Linked DNA regions of Cricetulus griseus. The protein of the gene in region 2 purifies or fractionates together with the protein of the main gene of each other region. This does not show direct contact. Links are inferred from orthologs where the notes say so. Each region holds a gene or a part of one and is shown on either strand. Other genes may lie near its edges. The genes, in order: NADH-cytochrome b5 reductase 3 and Rtn4.

Region 1 (7,296 bases), on a different chromosome or scaffold from region 2:
GTTCGCCAGCTGGAGTTCCCTTGGCCTGCAGCTGGCCTCCCAGAGCTGCCACACACCTGGATTGTTCCTGACCCTCTACCGTGGGCTCCTGTTGTAGCATGAATGGGGAATGTCCCCCATAGGCTCATGGATTCAAACATTTGCTTCCCAGTTCATGGTGCTGTTTAGTGACATCCTAGAACCTTTAGGAGGTATAGCCTTTGGAGGAAGTACATCACTGGGGACAGACAAGTGATCTCTGCTTCCTGTGTGTGGTTGAGATGTGATTCCCCAGCTTCCTGTCTGCTGCCGTGCCTTCCCTGCCATGATGGACTCTAGCTCTCTGAAACCATGAGCCAAAACAAACTCTTCCTTAAGTTGCCTGGTCATGATGCTTTATCACAACAATGGGAAAGTGACTAACACAGAAGTGCAGCTGTTGCCACATCCCCATTTAACAAAGGAGGCTCACAGAGGTCCAACATGGAGTTCAGATTTGGTTCCATGTGTGGGCCAACCAACAATCCTCACTCATCCTAAACCCACCAATGCTGGACAGTTTTGAGGGCAGTGTCTTTGTAGACACTCCTGTGTCAGGACTCTGGGTAGGTCCCTGAACATAAGCTAGGGTCCCCACACAGTCCCTCCACCAGCCTTGGGTTCAGAATGGTCCACCTCTCCTGTCTCCAGGTAACTTAGGGTTGCTTGGTCACCACTATCCCAGCACTTGGTGCAGGAGGCACTCAGCAAATATCTGTGCAATTACCGAAAGGACAACAACATCCTTCTCTCCTGATCCTTCAGGTTTCTCTGGCTTCTTGTGTTGTCTAGAAAGTTCCAGAACCAGGACAAAAGCCAAGACTGCTCCCTAATGAGAGAAGGGTTCAGTCTATTCTATTTCCCTTACAGACCTTAGGCTTAGCACAGGCTATGGAGGGAGCCAGACCATCTGCCCCTAGCCCTGGAGCATGCTCAGAAGGTACGGGTTTCAGGAGCCAGGACCAGTCTCCTGGCTGTTCCCAACAGGCACTGCCCTCTTACCTCAACCCTCAGGCTGCATCTGGGAGGTGCTATCATCACTCCCAACTCAGGTAAGAAAACAGGTGCTTCAGTGACAAGCCTGAGTCCAGGGTTACTTCTGGACACTGAGAAGTGAGAGGTAAACCTTTTCTAATATAAAAATTCCTGTCGGGCATTGGTGTCACATGCCTTTAATCCCAGCACTTGGGAGGCAGAGGCAGTCGGATCTCTGTGAGTTCGAGACCAGCCTGGTCTGCAGAGCAAGTGCCAGGATAGGCTCCAAAACTACACAGAGAAACCCTGTCTTGAAAAACAAAAACAAAAACAAAAAACAAAAACAACAAAAAAATTCCTATCTAGAAAGGTAGCTGTGACAAGCCATCCTAGCTGCTATTCATTCAGCCAACAGCTTCAGCAGGCACTCCTGTGTATGTGTGCGGTCCAGGCCTAAACCCCATGCTCAAGGAGCTCAAACTAGAAGGGGAGACAGACCCAGTCACAGGAGAGCTGAACCAAGGCCAGGAGCAGTAGAGTGAATGCTTGATCTCTAAAGTCAGAAGCTCAACCAGACTCACTCACCAGAAGGCTGGGTGTATTGTATCCTCACTGGCATAGAGTAAACAGGTGTCCCCATCCCTCCATGGCACCACCCTTGTCCCAGCAGCAGTGGCCAAGTAAACAGGAGGCAGTTGGCTGAGGCCAAGTCACTGCCCCAGTTCCTCCCAGCTGTATGAACACACACACACACACACACACACACACACACACACACACACACACACACACACACACACACCATCGTACTCCAACTAGTTACAAGTCCATGGGGGCAGCTGCTTCCCAGACCTTGACCCTCGGGTCATACCATGTACCAAGAAACCAGCCCCTTCTTCTCCTTGCTCTGAAAGAAAAGAAGGATAAAGGAAACTGGGTGCCAGGACCCAGGAGGGAGCCCTGAACTCACTTACCATCATAGCTAACAGGTGCACAGCCTGCTCTCCACCCAAAGGACACCCTGCCTGGCTGCTCTCTGGCATTTTTCCCTCTAGGACCCTGGAATCCAGTCTGTCCAGGTTGAATCAAGAGAGTGGGCAAAGAGCCCAGTCCCGGTCTCCCTCCAGGTGCCAGCTCCCTAACTTGGGGCTTCAATAAACCAGTCATCAACTCACTTACCTGCCCACCACCCACTCGTCAGCTGTCCTGCCAGATCAAGTGACCAGCCCTCCTGGTCTTGTTCTAAGTGGGAGGAAGTAGGAAGAAATAGAGGAAGTCCAGAAGCAGGGGGGCTTTGGGCTGGACTCCAGATTATGGGGGAAGGGAGCCCAGGAGAAGGAACATGTGGATAATTGAGCCACCCTCTGTTGATTCTAAACTACCAACCAGGCTCAGGGTTGCTGAGCCAGTGGGAAGGCCTCATCTACAAGAGTAATAGGTCTGTCAGGGCTTGCTGGAACTCACGGACAGGCAGAGAGGCAGTCCAGATCAGCAGGCTAAGCATGCAATGTTTTCCACTTGGAGAGCTGCCTTGAGTGCCATCCTCTGGGATGGAGCCCCCAATATATGCAGGAGGCCTCCCACAGGGCCTGCATGGCCCAGATAAGACATCTGGTACACCCAATGCCCAGCAGCCACCCACAGAGCACATGGCCTCCAGGACAAGAGGCTGGATTGTGTATACTGTGGGCACTGGGGACTAAGTGGGACCCCAGTTGGTCCCATAAGTCAAGGACAATAGCAAGCAACCCTTGGACAAATGAGGCCAGGTTGGGGTGGTTTTCTGATAATTAGACAGAGATCTGCTGTCTGCAAGGAACTACTGTTGACTTAACATGAATGGATACAACAGCCAGGTGCTGGGGTGCTGTGATTAAACCCCCCAAAAATGGTCCAGAAGGTAAAGAGAGCCTGGAAAGCAGGGGAGAGCAAGGGGACCAAGGGCAGTCTTTGGGGAAACTGGTCAGAATGTCATTGTGGGGTGATGTCACTTTGGAGTGATGCCACAGGCTTGCCTTGGGCCAGGCTGCTCCTTGAATGGACCATCCTGAATTGGCCACTCTCTCAAGAGCAAATGCCAGGCCAAGAAGACAGTTGCCTGTCTTCACCAAAAGTCTTGGATCTCAAAGAGAGAACACCCTCCAAGATAGGTGCTGGCCTAACTTTCCCACATCCAAAGAGCTGGGCACCTCAAGGCCAGGATGTGTTTATGCAGTTGGGGCTGGGCACACTTTATATGGACACTCTTAAGAAATCAGGGAGGTAGGGGGGTCTGGAGAGATGGCTCATTGATTAAGAGCACTGCCTGCTTTTCCAAAGGTCCTGAGTTCAATTCCCAGCAACCACATAATGGCTCATGACCCTGTAATGAGATCTGGTGCCCTCTTCTGGCCATGCAGGCAAAACAATGTATACATAATAAATGAATAAATCCAAAAAAAAAGGAAAGAAAAACAAACAAGGGAGAGGAGGTGGTCTCCAGAGTTGCCAAGGAGGCCCCCAGAGTTGCAGCAAGAGGGCAGATTTATAAATATTAGAAGGACCCAGCATCCTAAGTGGCCAAGTCTAATGACACTTTAGTGACAGCATAGTTGTGTGACAGGTGGCCAAGTCTAAGTGATACTTCATTGACAGCAGAGCTATGTGAGTAACAGGAATAGCCAAGGCCTGCCTGCGTGTGACAGCAGAAAGTGACAGACAGCATGAAAGATCATGGCCTTGTTTATGGCAGGAAGATGCACCCAATCCCTGATCTAGAGATATCCTACACACTTCACCCATGCACACATGCACCCCAAAGTACTCTGGCCCATGCCAGCTCACACGTGTCCACTATTCACACATGCGTGTCTTTACACTCACACCTTCATTTTCTACACACACACACACACACACACACACACACACACACACACACCGTACCTATTGGTTCCTCCACGAACACACCTGTGCACTTACAGTCACAGTGCACGTTCACAAAACCCTCACCTGTACACTCGTACAGACACGCATTTCACATTCTCAGTCGCTCCAACTTTCTCGCTCTCACAAGTCACGTCCATTCACGCGGTCACACACGTCACTCGTTCCCTGTCACGGTCGTGCACACCCAGGAGGGTCCCCCAAGGTCCGCCCCGCACCCGGGTCCCTCTCTGGCCTGCGGCAGGGCCGGCATGGCGCGGCCACTAGCCAGGGTGTGAGTCACGGTAAGCAAGGGGCCGGGTGGGGCGCAGTGTGCCTGAACGGATGCTGGGTGTCCCGGATCGTTTCGTGTCCCCACGGTGCGCGCCTGGTGACCCCAGACCCCTACCACCTACCGTGCTCAGCTGGGACCCCATGGTGGTGGAGAAGGCAGTCGCTGCGTGGTTCTACACCCGCTACTCGGCCGGCCGCTCCCCCAATGACCCACCCCAGCCGCAACACCTCGGAGGCGGGGCGGCTGTGCGGAGCCAGTCAGGAGCGCCATGGTGGGCGGGTCGGGGCGGAGCCACCAGTTTCCCCGCCCACCACTTCCGTCCTGAGAACATAGGAGTGCGTTCTGAGTGGCTGACAGCACTGCACGGAAGGGGCTCGGCGGGACCCCTGCTGTGGCGCGGCTGTGTGGCATCGGGCGGTAACTTGTCGCCTCTGGACCTGTTTTGTCCCGCTGAAGAGAACAAGATGGCGCCCCCATGATAGGCTCTCAAATCCTGAACCTTCGGTCCTGGAGGCCTGCAGAAGCTAGCTGTGCTGGCCGGGTCTCAAATCCGCGCTCCAGGGTGTGTTGCCAACACTGCTGGCCACCGAGTTCAGGCCACAACCCTGCCCCTGCCCCCTGCCCCACTTCAAGCCTTTGAACTGGTTGCTCTCTCCTGAACAAATTCCCCAATTTGTACTGAGGTCCGGATTAAAGTTCAGGTGTTACCTCTTCAAGCAGGCCGCCTCTGACCCTACGCTCCCTGGAGGAACCCCGATGCTGTAGAGTGGTCTTTGTAGCGCTTAAGTTATCCCACCTGTTCATTCACGATGCTCTGCGTCCTCATACCCATCGTGCTGGACTGTGGGCTTCCCCAGATCAGGACTCTGCAGTCAGCCCCCCTGTGTGCCTGGAACCCAGAACAGAGTCTATAAATGATCAATAGTGGGGAAGTGAATGCGTCCCTGATATTTCGGAATACTCTTCAGCGTGGTACTGGCCAGATAGAGAAGGATAGACCACTTTGAAAGCATCCAGAACCTGCAGAGCCTGGAGGTGAGAATAAAGTGGGGAGAGGCAGGAGGTGGGAGAGGCTGAGACAGGTGATATGAGACCCTCAGTGATATGAGACCCAGATGAGCATAAGAGTTCAGAGGGCAGGAGTGAGAAGGGGACTTGCTGCATAAAATAGGGAACGAGGGCTTGCCGTGGCTACCCATGTATTCAATACCAGAAGAGGCAGGTGGATCCGTGTGAGTTCCAGGCTACACAGTAAGACTTTATTAGTTACTTTTTTGTTGCTGTGATAAAACACCATGACCAAAGGCAACTTTAGGAGTTTATTTTAGCTTACAGTTCCAGAGGGGTAAGACTCCATTACGGTGGGGAGGCATGGCCACAAGCAGCAGGCAAGCATGGCCGGAGGAGTCAGATGCTGAGAGAGAACTTCTGGACCTTAAAGATAACCAAGAGAGACAACTGGAAGTAGGGCCAGTCTTATAAGCTCTCAGGTCCCACCCCCAGTGTGACAGAACTTCCTCCAGCAAGACCACATCTCCTAACCCTCCCTGGATAGCAACACAAATTGGGACCAAGTCTTCAAATGCCCGGGCTTATAAGGGGCACTTCTTATCCAACCCACCACAGAAACCCTGTCGCAAATAATAAAACGAATAAATAAAGATCGAACTATGGCTGGCAGATCTGCAATTCCAGAATTTGGATGGGGGAGGCAGGAGGATAAGGGATTCAAGGTTATCCTTGGTTACACACGGAATCGAGGTTAGCCTATGCTTCATGAGACCCTGCCTCAAAGAAACAAACATGGGAGGGTCAGCTACTACCCTGGACTATGAGGGCAGATCGGACGTCAGTTAAGTATGTTCTCCTTTTAATCTCAGCACTTATGAGTATCACAAACCCAAGGCAGTCTGTTCTAGAGTAAGACCTTGTCACAAAGGGGGCAAGAGTGTACATGTGGGGGGGCTCTTCTTACTCCTCAAAGTAAGTAGACTGGGAAGTGTGTCCTGGAGACTAGTGTGTACTGGAGACTAGAACTGTGGTCCTCACAGCATAGCAAGCACTGTTCCTTCTTATCCTTTGTGCCATCTCCCCAGTCCTCACTGTTGCCTTCCTTAGGGTCATTATTGACTGTCCATCTCTTCTATCTGGCTGAACTTCTTCATAGTTGTTTCTCTTCCTGAGGGTAACATGGGTCACAAGTCACAGTCAACTTCCCTTACTGAGGCATCTCTCTCTGCTATTTCAGAACCTGTCTGCACTCATACTTCAACCCACTGGCAATATTTTTTCTTTTTTTCTAGTGGAAAGGTGTTTGGAGACAGGTTTCTCTATGTAACAGCTCTGCCTGTCCTGGAACTTTCTTTGTAGACCAGGCTGGCCTCCAACCCACAGAGATCCACATTTCTTTGCCTCGCAAGTGCTGGGATCAAAGGCGTGCGCCACCACTGCCTGGCACCTCTCCTGATATTTCTATGGAAGCTGGAAAGGGAACTGGATATCACATCATACTAGCACAGCACCCAGACTAGCTGTGTGACCTAAAGGCCATGTTGACTCATGACCTGAGGCAACAGAGCTGATATCAAAGTGGAGAACAGTGGAAGTTGATGCAAAAATCTGGACAGGTCTTGTCAGCTTGGGGGAGGGAAGAGGCATGTGGTCAGGAAAGTCACTGTGGCCACAGGACTGCAGAGAGGAAGAGTCACAGGTTGGAGATATGACTCAGAAGTTAAGAGCACAGGCCACTCTTCCAGAGGAGTAGAGTTCAGTTACCAGTACTTCCAACCGCCTTAACTCTAGGTCTAGGGCAGTGGTTCTCAACCTGTGCATCTCAACCCCTAATGACCATCAGAAAGCACAGACATTTACATTATGGATTCATAACAGTAGCAAAATTACAATTATGAAGTAGCAACAAAAATAATTTTATGATTGGGGTCACACACGAGGAACTGTATTTTGTTCTGTTGAGGTTTGGTTTTTCGAGAAGACACGGTTTCTCTTTGTGGCTTTGGAGCCTGCCATGGAATTCACTCAGTAGACCAGACTGGCCTTGAACTCAGAGATCCACCTGCCTCTGCTTCCCAAGTGCTGTAATTAACTGA
Region 2 (7,628 bases):
TTTCATTCATATAAAAGCAGCTCTTTGAAAGAAAAATACTGTAGAAAGCTTGGCTCCCATGTGGCTATGTCAGTAGATAATGGGACTTTTAAGAAGTGGGGATCACAGCTAGAAGCCTTTCTGCCCAACCCTGTAATTCCAGGATGAGGTAGAAGGATCCCAAGTCACAAAATAAATTAATTTACATTAATATTAAAAGTGGCGGAAGCTGGAGATGGCTCAGTATTGGCTTCACTATTGAACATGGGGCCACAGAGTCAAAAAAGAGACCAGCCTACTAGGAAGTGGTTGTGATTTGGAGGACTATTCAGGAAGAATGAAGGAAGTCGTTCTAGTGTAACCTTGAGTTCTCACAAAATGATGGTCATAAAAGACCTAGACTGGTTTCTGCCTCCTCCCACATTTCCTGTCCCACCATGGAGTTGTGGGCCTCTAGTATGGGCTCTCACCACCGTGGTAACACCTACCATAAGGTTTTTACCACAGCCAGGCTGATGGCAATGCCATGCCTTGAAACCTCCTTAACTAGAAGCTTAACAAATCTCTTTTCTTTTGAAACTAAACAACACAGAGTACCAACATCAAAAGACTATACTCAATACAAATGCCCTCTCCTCATTCCTGACACCTGTACACAGACACACCCTATTCTTTTTTTTGAAGAACAATTTTAGTGTCATGATATAGCAGCAGCTTTGAATGGCAGAATATTAAAGCAGGATAATAAAATCCAGATTCTTTTATTTTGCATTCAATACCCTTCAGAATTCAAATCAATTTATCACACACTTTCAGTCACTCCCATTACCAATGTGTCTAGAGATCAGCTTAGTCATCTTAACTGATGTTTGCTGTTCTCTCAAATCAGTCTCTAAGGTTCCTTAGAACAAAGGAACCATTCTTCCAACAGGAAGTCTCATATTTCTCCAAGACAAATGGTCATCAAGTGAAAGGTGCAGGTCTCAGTATCAGTCACTACGTTACAATAGAGATAACTCTGCACAACAGCAATCAGAAAAATTTTAACTAAAGGAAATCGGAATTAACTAAAAATGAATGTAAACATCGAACTTAAACCCATAGGTGCTAGAGATCTATAGCCCCTCTTCCAGTTTATTTCTAACCATGTAGCCAACATTTCTTACATCCTTGTCTTTTTTCTCACTAACTTTCTCCCTCTGAACCTTCAAAACAACATTTTTTTGCTCCAAAATCACAACATAATGCACTCCTAAAATAACAATTTTTTAAAGCCACACATTTTAGCACGGCCTGGGAGGCTCTGAATTACCTGAGTGCAGTTACCACCTCTGCACTCCACCAGTTTCCTCACTAATGGACTTGATAAACAAGCTCAGTCCTGCCTAGGGGAATCTTTGCCCTGAGAATTCATTCACAATTTGTCTCTGCTGCTCAAACCTCCAGTTCTTTTTCCTATCATCAAGCATACTTTAAAAGGCCCTCACATATTTCAGTTATTCTCTCTCTCTGTCTGTCTCTCTCTGTGTGTGTCTCTCTCTCTTTCTCTCTCTCCCTCTCTCTCTCTCTTTGGTTTTTCTGTGGCTTTGGAGGCTATCCTGGAACTAGCTCTTGTAGACCAGGCCAGTCTCGAACTCAGAGATCCGCCTGCCTCTGCCTCCTGAGTGCTGGGACTAAAGGCATGCACCACCACAGCCCTGCTTCAGTTATTCTCATTCCTTAAAAGTGTTATCATAACACTATCATTTTTAGCTCCTTTTTATGTTTATTATGTGTATTCCTCCCATGAGGGAATCATGGGTCTTGCTTACTGCCACATCTTAGCAGCCTAGAATAGTGCTTAGTAAGGTTAAGAAAGTGTCCCTGGTAACCAATGGTAGGGATCAGTAATGGCACCAGGCAATGAACAATCTCTTCAGTGCAGTAAGAAATCTAGATGCACTGAAATGATTAACCATCAATGACCACATCCACTGTTCAATAAAAGAAATGGAAGTTTCCAAATAAATACAATTAGTACAAAATCCCTGAGTAGGCAATATTCTCTCCTTTGTCTTCTAAACTTAATATTTTAGCAGTCAAGATTTCAAAAAAATGTTGTCGTTTCCTGAGTTCCCTCAGTGTTCACAGGATAGCGCTATTCTCTTGCTCCCATACAGGTAGAGAAGATGATAATTGTGGTTTGTGGTTTTGGCAATCATTATGCTTCCAGTACTTTATTTTTTCTACTTTAGTTTCCCTCAAAAAAAAAAAAAAAGGTTAAAGATGGGCAAGCTATGGTAGTCTTTACCTTCTAAATATTGTTTTTGAATAGTGCCTTGGAGTATGCCCATAATGAATTATTACCCAGAAACATCCCTATTGGTTCATTCTTCCCATTGTGAGAGTTAATTGCAATTAAAAGAAAGAAAAAAAAATAATGTGAGCTCACTCAGGATGGTATTTTTCTAGGAAATGAACCACTTCCCAAATTTTGCAATGTTGTGAAATTTTCCCAGTTACACCACTTAATTTTTGACATTAACTTACAAAGAAAGATCTTACTGCTAGCAAAACACTACGTCCCAAAACAGTAAGATTTTTAAAACAATGTTCCTTTTAAAAATTTAAAAACATAATATACAATATCTGGAAAACTACAAACCTGTATTTTGTCAATCTAAATCATGTATTTCCAAAAACTAGCACTTCTAACCAATATTTGAAACACTGTTTCAAAACATCTCATTATGTGTCAGGAAAAATCTACCACAAGTTCAATAAACCAATTCCTGACCAGGAATCCACAGGCTTCCCCTATTTATGGTCAACCATTTTGCCTTTTCTCTAAGAGTCAATTGCGATACATTTAAAGGCTGAGAGATGCACATTAACATTTGGAGATTTGTTCTACCGTGCAACAGAGGCCCTGGAGAACTGCGCCCCATCGGAACACAATGCCCAGATCTCGTTTCCCTGGCTCAATGGAGGAGTTGCCACATTACACCCAAATGAGCTGGGCGGGGGCAGAACTTCACCCAAAGTCTCTGCTATCCAATTCTCCTGGAACCACGCCACTGGAGGCGCTCTCCCTTCACTGCAGTTGGATCGCAGTATAGACGTTAGTAGCTCAACCAATTCCCCACCAGTAAGAGGGGGAGGGGATCAGTGTCAAGGGTCTCCCGACGCCAGGCAGGAAGGCAAGCCTCGGAGAGACTGTAGGGCGGTCGGCAAAGGCCCCTGCTTTAAATAAAAGGGTTAGACGCCGTACGTAGCCTTCCCATTCCCACATCCAAGGCCAGCCCAGCCCAAGGAATCCACAACCCTAGTTCCTCGATACACACCTAGCTGCCGATAGTGGCTGTGCCTCCTTCGGGAGAGCGATGGAATGGGGACCAGAAGGAAGAACTAGGGGCTTGGCGGGGTGCACGTGCTCCCCGAAACCCGGACAGACAATGAAGGCGCCCGGGCTTCCGCGGCCGCCCCACCCTTCTGCCTTCCTCCCGCCTGCGGGGGCGCCATCGCCCTGCCGCTCGCAGACAAAGCCCCTCGGGTCCCGAGGCAGCCCTGCCCGCGCCCCCCTTCCCTCCCCGGCTCAACATACCAAGAGGGAGGGGCGTGGGGGCTGGCGCGCCGCGACACTCACCCACTGAGCCCGAGCCCCTGCGCTTGGGCGCGGCCGGCGTGGAAGGGGGCGCGGCGGGCTCAGCCAGGGGGCTCACGCCGGCTGGGGGCGGAGGCGGAGGCCGCGCCGGAGGCTCGTCGTCCTCGGGGAGCTTGGAGGGCAGGACTGCGGCAGCGGCAGGCAGGGACTGCGCGGGAGCCGCGGGGCTCCGCTCCCAGGACGGCTGCCGCTCAGGGGCAGCAGGGGGCGCGGCCAGCAGCGGCCCACGGGGCGCCGGGGGCACAGAGTCGCTCCCCAAGTCCAGCAACGGCGCGGCGGCGGCGGGTGGCACCGGAGCGGCGGACAGCCCGGCGGCCGGCTTCCTCTCCAGCACCTCCAGCTCCTCCAGGTCCTCGTCCTCGTCCTCCTCGTCCTCCTCCTCCTCCTCGTCCTCTTCGTCCTCGGGCTCCGTCACGAACTGGTACTTGAAGGCGGGAGGAGGAGGAGGCCGGGACGGGCTGTCCGCGGTCGAGGAGACCAGAGGCGACTGGTCTAGGTCTTCCATGGCTGGGCCGGTCCGAGATGATGCTGCAGCTACTGCCGCTGCCGGGCCGCTTCTCCTCACAGCCGCGGGCGGTTGTGGGGGTTGGGCAGGACTGACAGGGGCCGGGCAGGACGAGCGAGGAACCTGCAGAGGCGACGGCTCCCCGAACAATGAGACGTCTCCTGCCTCCACGCCCGAGATGCGCCACCCGCCCCGTCCCCAGTTACAGCAGTCGCCGCCGCCCAGACGAGCGAAGAAGAGAGGCCAGCAGACTCCCCGCCCAGTTTGGCGTGACTCACCTTCCCGGCGGGGAGGGGTGGCTGGCTGGCGCGGGAGACAGAGAGCCAATGGGCTGCGGGATAGAGAAGATGGACAGAAGGCCTGTCCAATAGAAATAGAAGGAGCGGGCGGGGCCTGCCGCACTTCCTCTCCTGCGGGCGACGTTCGGAGGGCGGGTTTTGGAGCTAGGCTCCACCCCTACCTCTAGTAGATGCGGAGTGGGGTGGGGTCCTGGCCTTGCCTACAGCTGGATTTTAGTCTATGGGTACTGCGAAAGGGGATGGGCGCGGCCCCAGGATTTGGAGAGTTTTCCAATAAACCAGCTGAAGGGCGTTATCCTGGGGACCTAGGAGTGGAAAGTCCTCCCCGCCCCCGAAAAGGAAAACGACAGTGGAGAAAGGTACTAATAAGACTGAAGTAGGCCCTACAGATTTTTAAAATAAAAGGTTTATTTTCAAACAAGCTCCCAAATCATAACTACCACCACCTCGAAAGGAAAAATATAAAAACACTGTTTTGACAGTTCAAGTTCACTCCCCTTCTAAACTGCAGGCCTGGAATGAGCTAGGCAAAACAGCTGTGGAAGATTATCTGGGACTCTGGGGCTCACTGCTAGAATGCTCTTCCAAAGAGGGCTTTTGGGCTTGCTTTCTGCTGGACTCTTAAAGTGCTAGGAGAATGAGTCACCCAGAAGGGGTACCGGGAGGAACGTAGAAATAGATGCCATGGAAGGCAAAATTGGTTGACTGCTCTTCAGTCACCTTAGGCTGATGAGTCAACATCTCAGATGAGTCAGGCTTCGGGGAGTCAGGAAGCCCTACTACACTCAGTGGCTTGACATGCTGGAAAAGCTTGTCCATTCCCCTCCTCCATCCCCGCCCCCGCCATGTACTTCCCCCGACCCCAAGTGAGAAAATGGTTGAAGAACATAGAAGAAATAGTACCCAGAGGTTCAGAGAGTCCTTTTATCTTTCTGATACACCTTTCAAAAATAGTGGCTGCATGTCTACTCTGGAGGCCTGGAGAGAGGATTGCCGGTATTCCAATTGTTCCATCTACATGTGCACTGTGTACTTTAATGACTGGCTGCTTTAGGTACTGAGCACCGAAATGAGGTGTGCTGTGTGAATAAAATACACACTGCATCTCCAGAATTCATAACAAGAAGTGTTGTAATCTCTGCTTCACATTGGTTTTATGTTGGCATTCATAATATCTTGAATATACTGCAATCCATTATCAAATTCACTTGTATTCTTTTTGAAGCAGCTTGTAGAACCTTTAGATGCATATTCTAGTGATTAAGACATGTGTTTGTCATGGAGAAATTGTTGGTTTTTTAAGCAAATTCTTAATCCCAACAAATTAAGGTTACCCTAGATTTAAGTACTGAAACATAATTGATGGAGGAAGGAACTTGAGAAATGGCCCAGCAATACCTTCAACTTTTTCACAGGATCTGAGTTCTGTTCCCAGCACCCAAGCCGCTCATAATCACTGTAACTTCAGTTATAGGGGCTCCTTCACCCTCTAATAGCCTTCTCCAGAAACTGTACACGTGACACGCACACTCTCTCTCTTTAAAAAATAACAATAATAAAAATTTAATGGAGCTAGAAAGACGACTAGTTAAGAGCATTTATTGCTGTTGCAGAGGGCCCGAGTTCAAGTTTCAACACACACATGGTAATTCCCAACTGTCCATAACTCCAGTTCCAGCTTATCCAAAGCCCTCTTATGACCTCAGGAGCAAGGCACCTGCATGGTACACATACATGCACACAGCATAACACTCATACACATAAAACAGATCTTTAAAGAAATGTTCTTTTAAAACCATCTGGCAGTATTTATTCTGGAAAATAAGAGAGACACATGAAAAAGACACCTAACTATTCCAGCCATGGTGCTGTTCTCTCAAAAATGTGAGTTCATCCCAGAATGTACAGCCAATATAAATAAAAAATAATGAATCACTGTTTTTTTTAAACCACTGCCTTTTTTAGGTGATTCATTACACAACAGAAATTAATTGAAACATGCATTTTATGTTTCTATTTTGTTTTGTTGATTCCTACAAAAATATGCATTGGGTGTGTACTCTGTATCAGCACCAAACAAAGCAGATGTAATTCCAGTTAAAAGGTCACTACTCAGAAAATAGGCCATTCCAGTTCTATAATATTAAATACTGTTGCAAGATGTTTGATACCTAAACTTTTGTGGAAAAGCTATTTGCCTTGTAGCTTGTATGCCCCTTGTGGAAAGGCTATTTGCCTTGTATCTTGTATGCCCCTTGATGGATGGATGTATTCCTGTCGACATTGAAAGGTTCAGGCAGATATCTAGGCAGCTTAAAGGGCCTGTGTTTCGTGGCCACATCATGGCTATGTCACTCATTACTGGGCTATGTAGGGACTCAGTGCACATGCGACCTTCCCTTTATAAACCCGCAGAATTATTCTCCTCTCTCTCCCCGGTGGTTGACCTCTCTCTCTCTCTCTCTCTCTCTCTCTCTCTCTCTCTCTCTCTCTGTCTCTCTCTTTCTCTCTCTCTCTGTCTCTCTCTCTCTCTCTCCTCTCTCTCTCTCTCTCTCTCTCTCCTCTCTCTCTCTCTCTCTCTCTGTCTCTCTCTCCCTCCCTCCCTCCCTCCCTCTCTCTCTCTCTCTCTCTCTCTGTGCCCTGCTCTGTTCTTCCATTTCTCTCTCTCCCCCTCTCACTCTTCCACCCAATAATAAACTGGTTAATGTGCTCACTATAGTACATGTCCATCTCTCTCAAATTTCTAATTTAAGCATAAGAATAACAGACATACTGGAAGATCTGAACTTCAGAGTGGGTTTGCCCATACTAGAAGAAATATGAGAGATGGATTCCATACAAAACTGTTTCAAGAGAAGTCTGCCTTTTCACTGAAAAAGCCTTGGCTGTTTTTAAGTGACTGCTGAGTTACAGCCAGTCTCTCTACTGAAAAAAATAAATAAATAAACCACTGACGCATGATTTTGGCATAAGTTGGAGTTTTAACAGTTTTAACTTGCTTCATGGTTTGCCCTACTATCTCACTGGTTTTAGGTTCCACGTAATACAGGATTTTATGAAATGCAGTTTTGTAATCCTGGCTAATGTAGATTCAAACTGCATTCACTAATAAGAGTAAAAACAGAATGATGAGATCAATTTATTCAGTCATGTTAGTAACCCATTGGCAAATTAGTGTTGGACCTAAAATAAAATTTTAAGT

The links.
Region 1: the proteins of Rtn4 (region 2) and NADH-cytochrome b5 reductase 3 purify together in Homo sapiens (affinity purification with mass spectrometry; 3 studies listed by BioGRID and IntAct, counting the BioPlex papers as one, with this or other methods). This does not show direct contact. The link is inferred for Cricetulus griseus from reciprocal best matches to the Homo sapiens genes RTN4 and CYB5R3.

The regions. Positions count from the first base shown.
Region 1 is NC_048595.1:380,061,851-380,069,146, forward strand, and holds the start of NADH-cytochrome b5 reductase 3, read right to left. Parts: upstream 4,467-7,296; 5' UTR 4,332-4,466; coding exon 4,311-4,331; intron 1-4,310. UniProt on the Homo sapiens protein: Catalyzes the reduction of two molecules of cytochrome b5 using NADH as the electron donor.
Region 2 is NW_023276807.1:77,576,398-77,584,025, forward strand, and holds the start of Rtn4 (reticulon-4), read right to left. Parts: upstream 4,378-7,628; 5' UTR 4,128-4,377; coding exon 3,563-4,127; intron 1-3,562. UniProt on the Homo sapiens protein: Required to induce the formation and stabilization of endoplasmic reticulum (ER) tubules. They regulate membrane morphogenesis in the ER by promoting tubular ER production.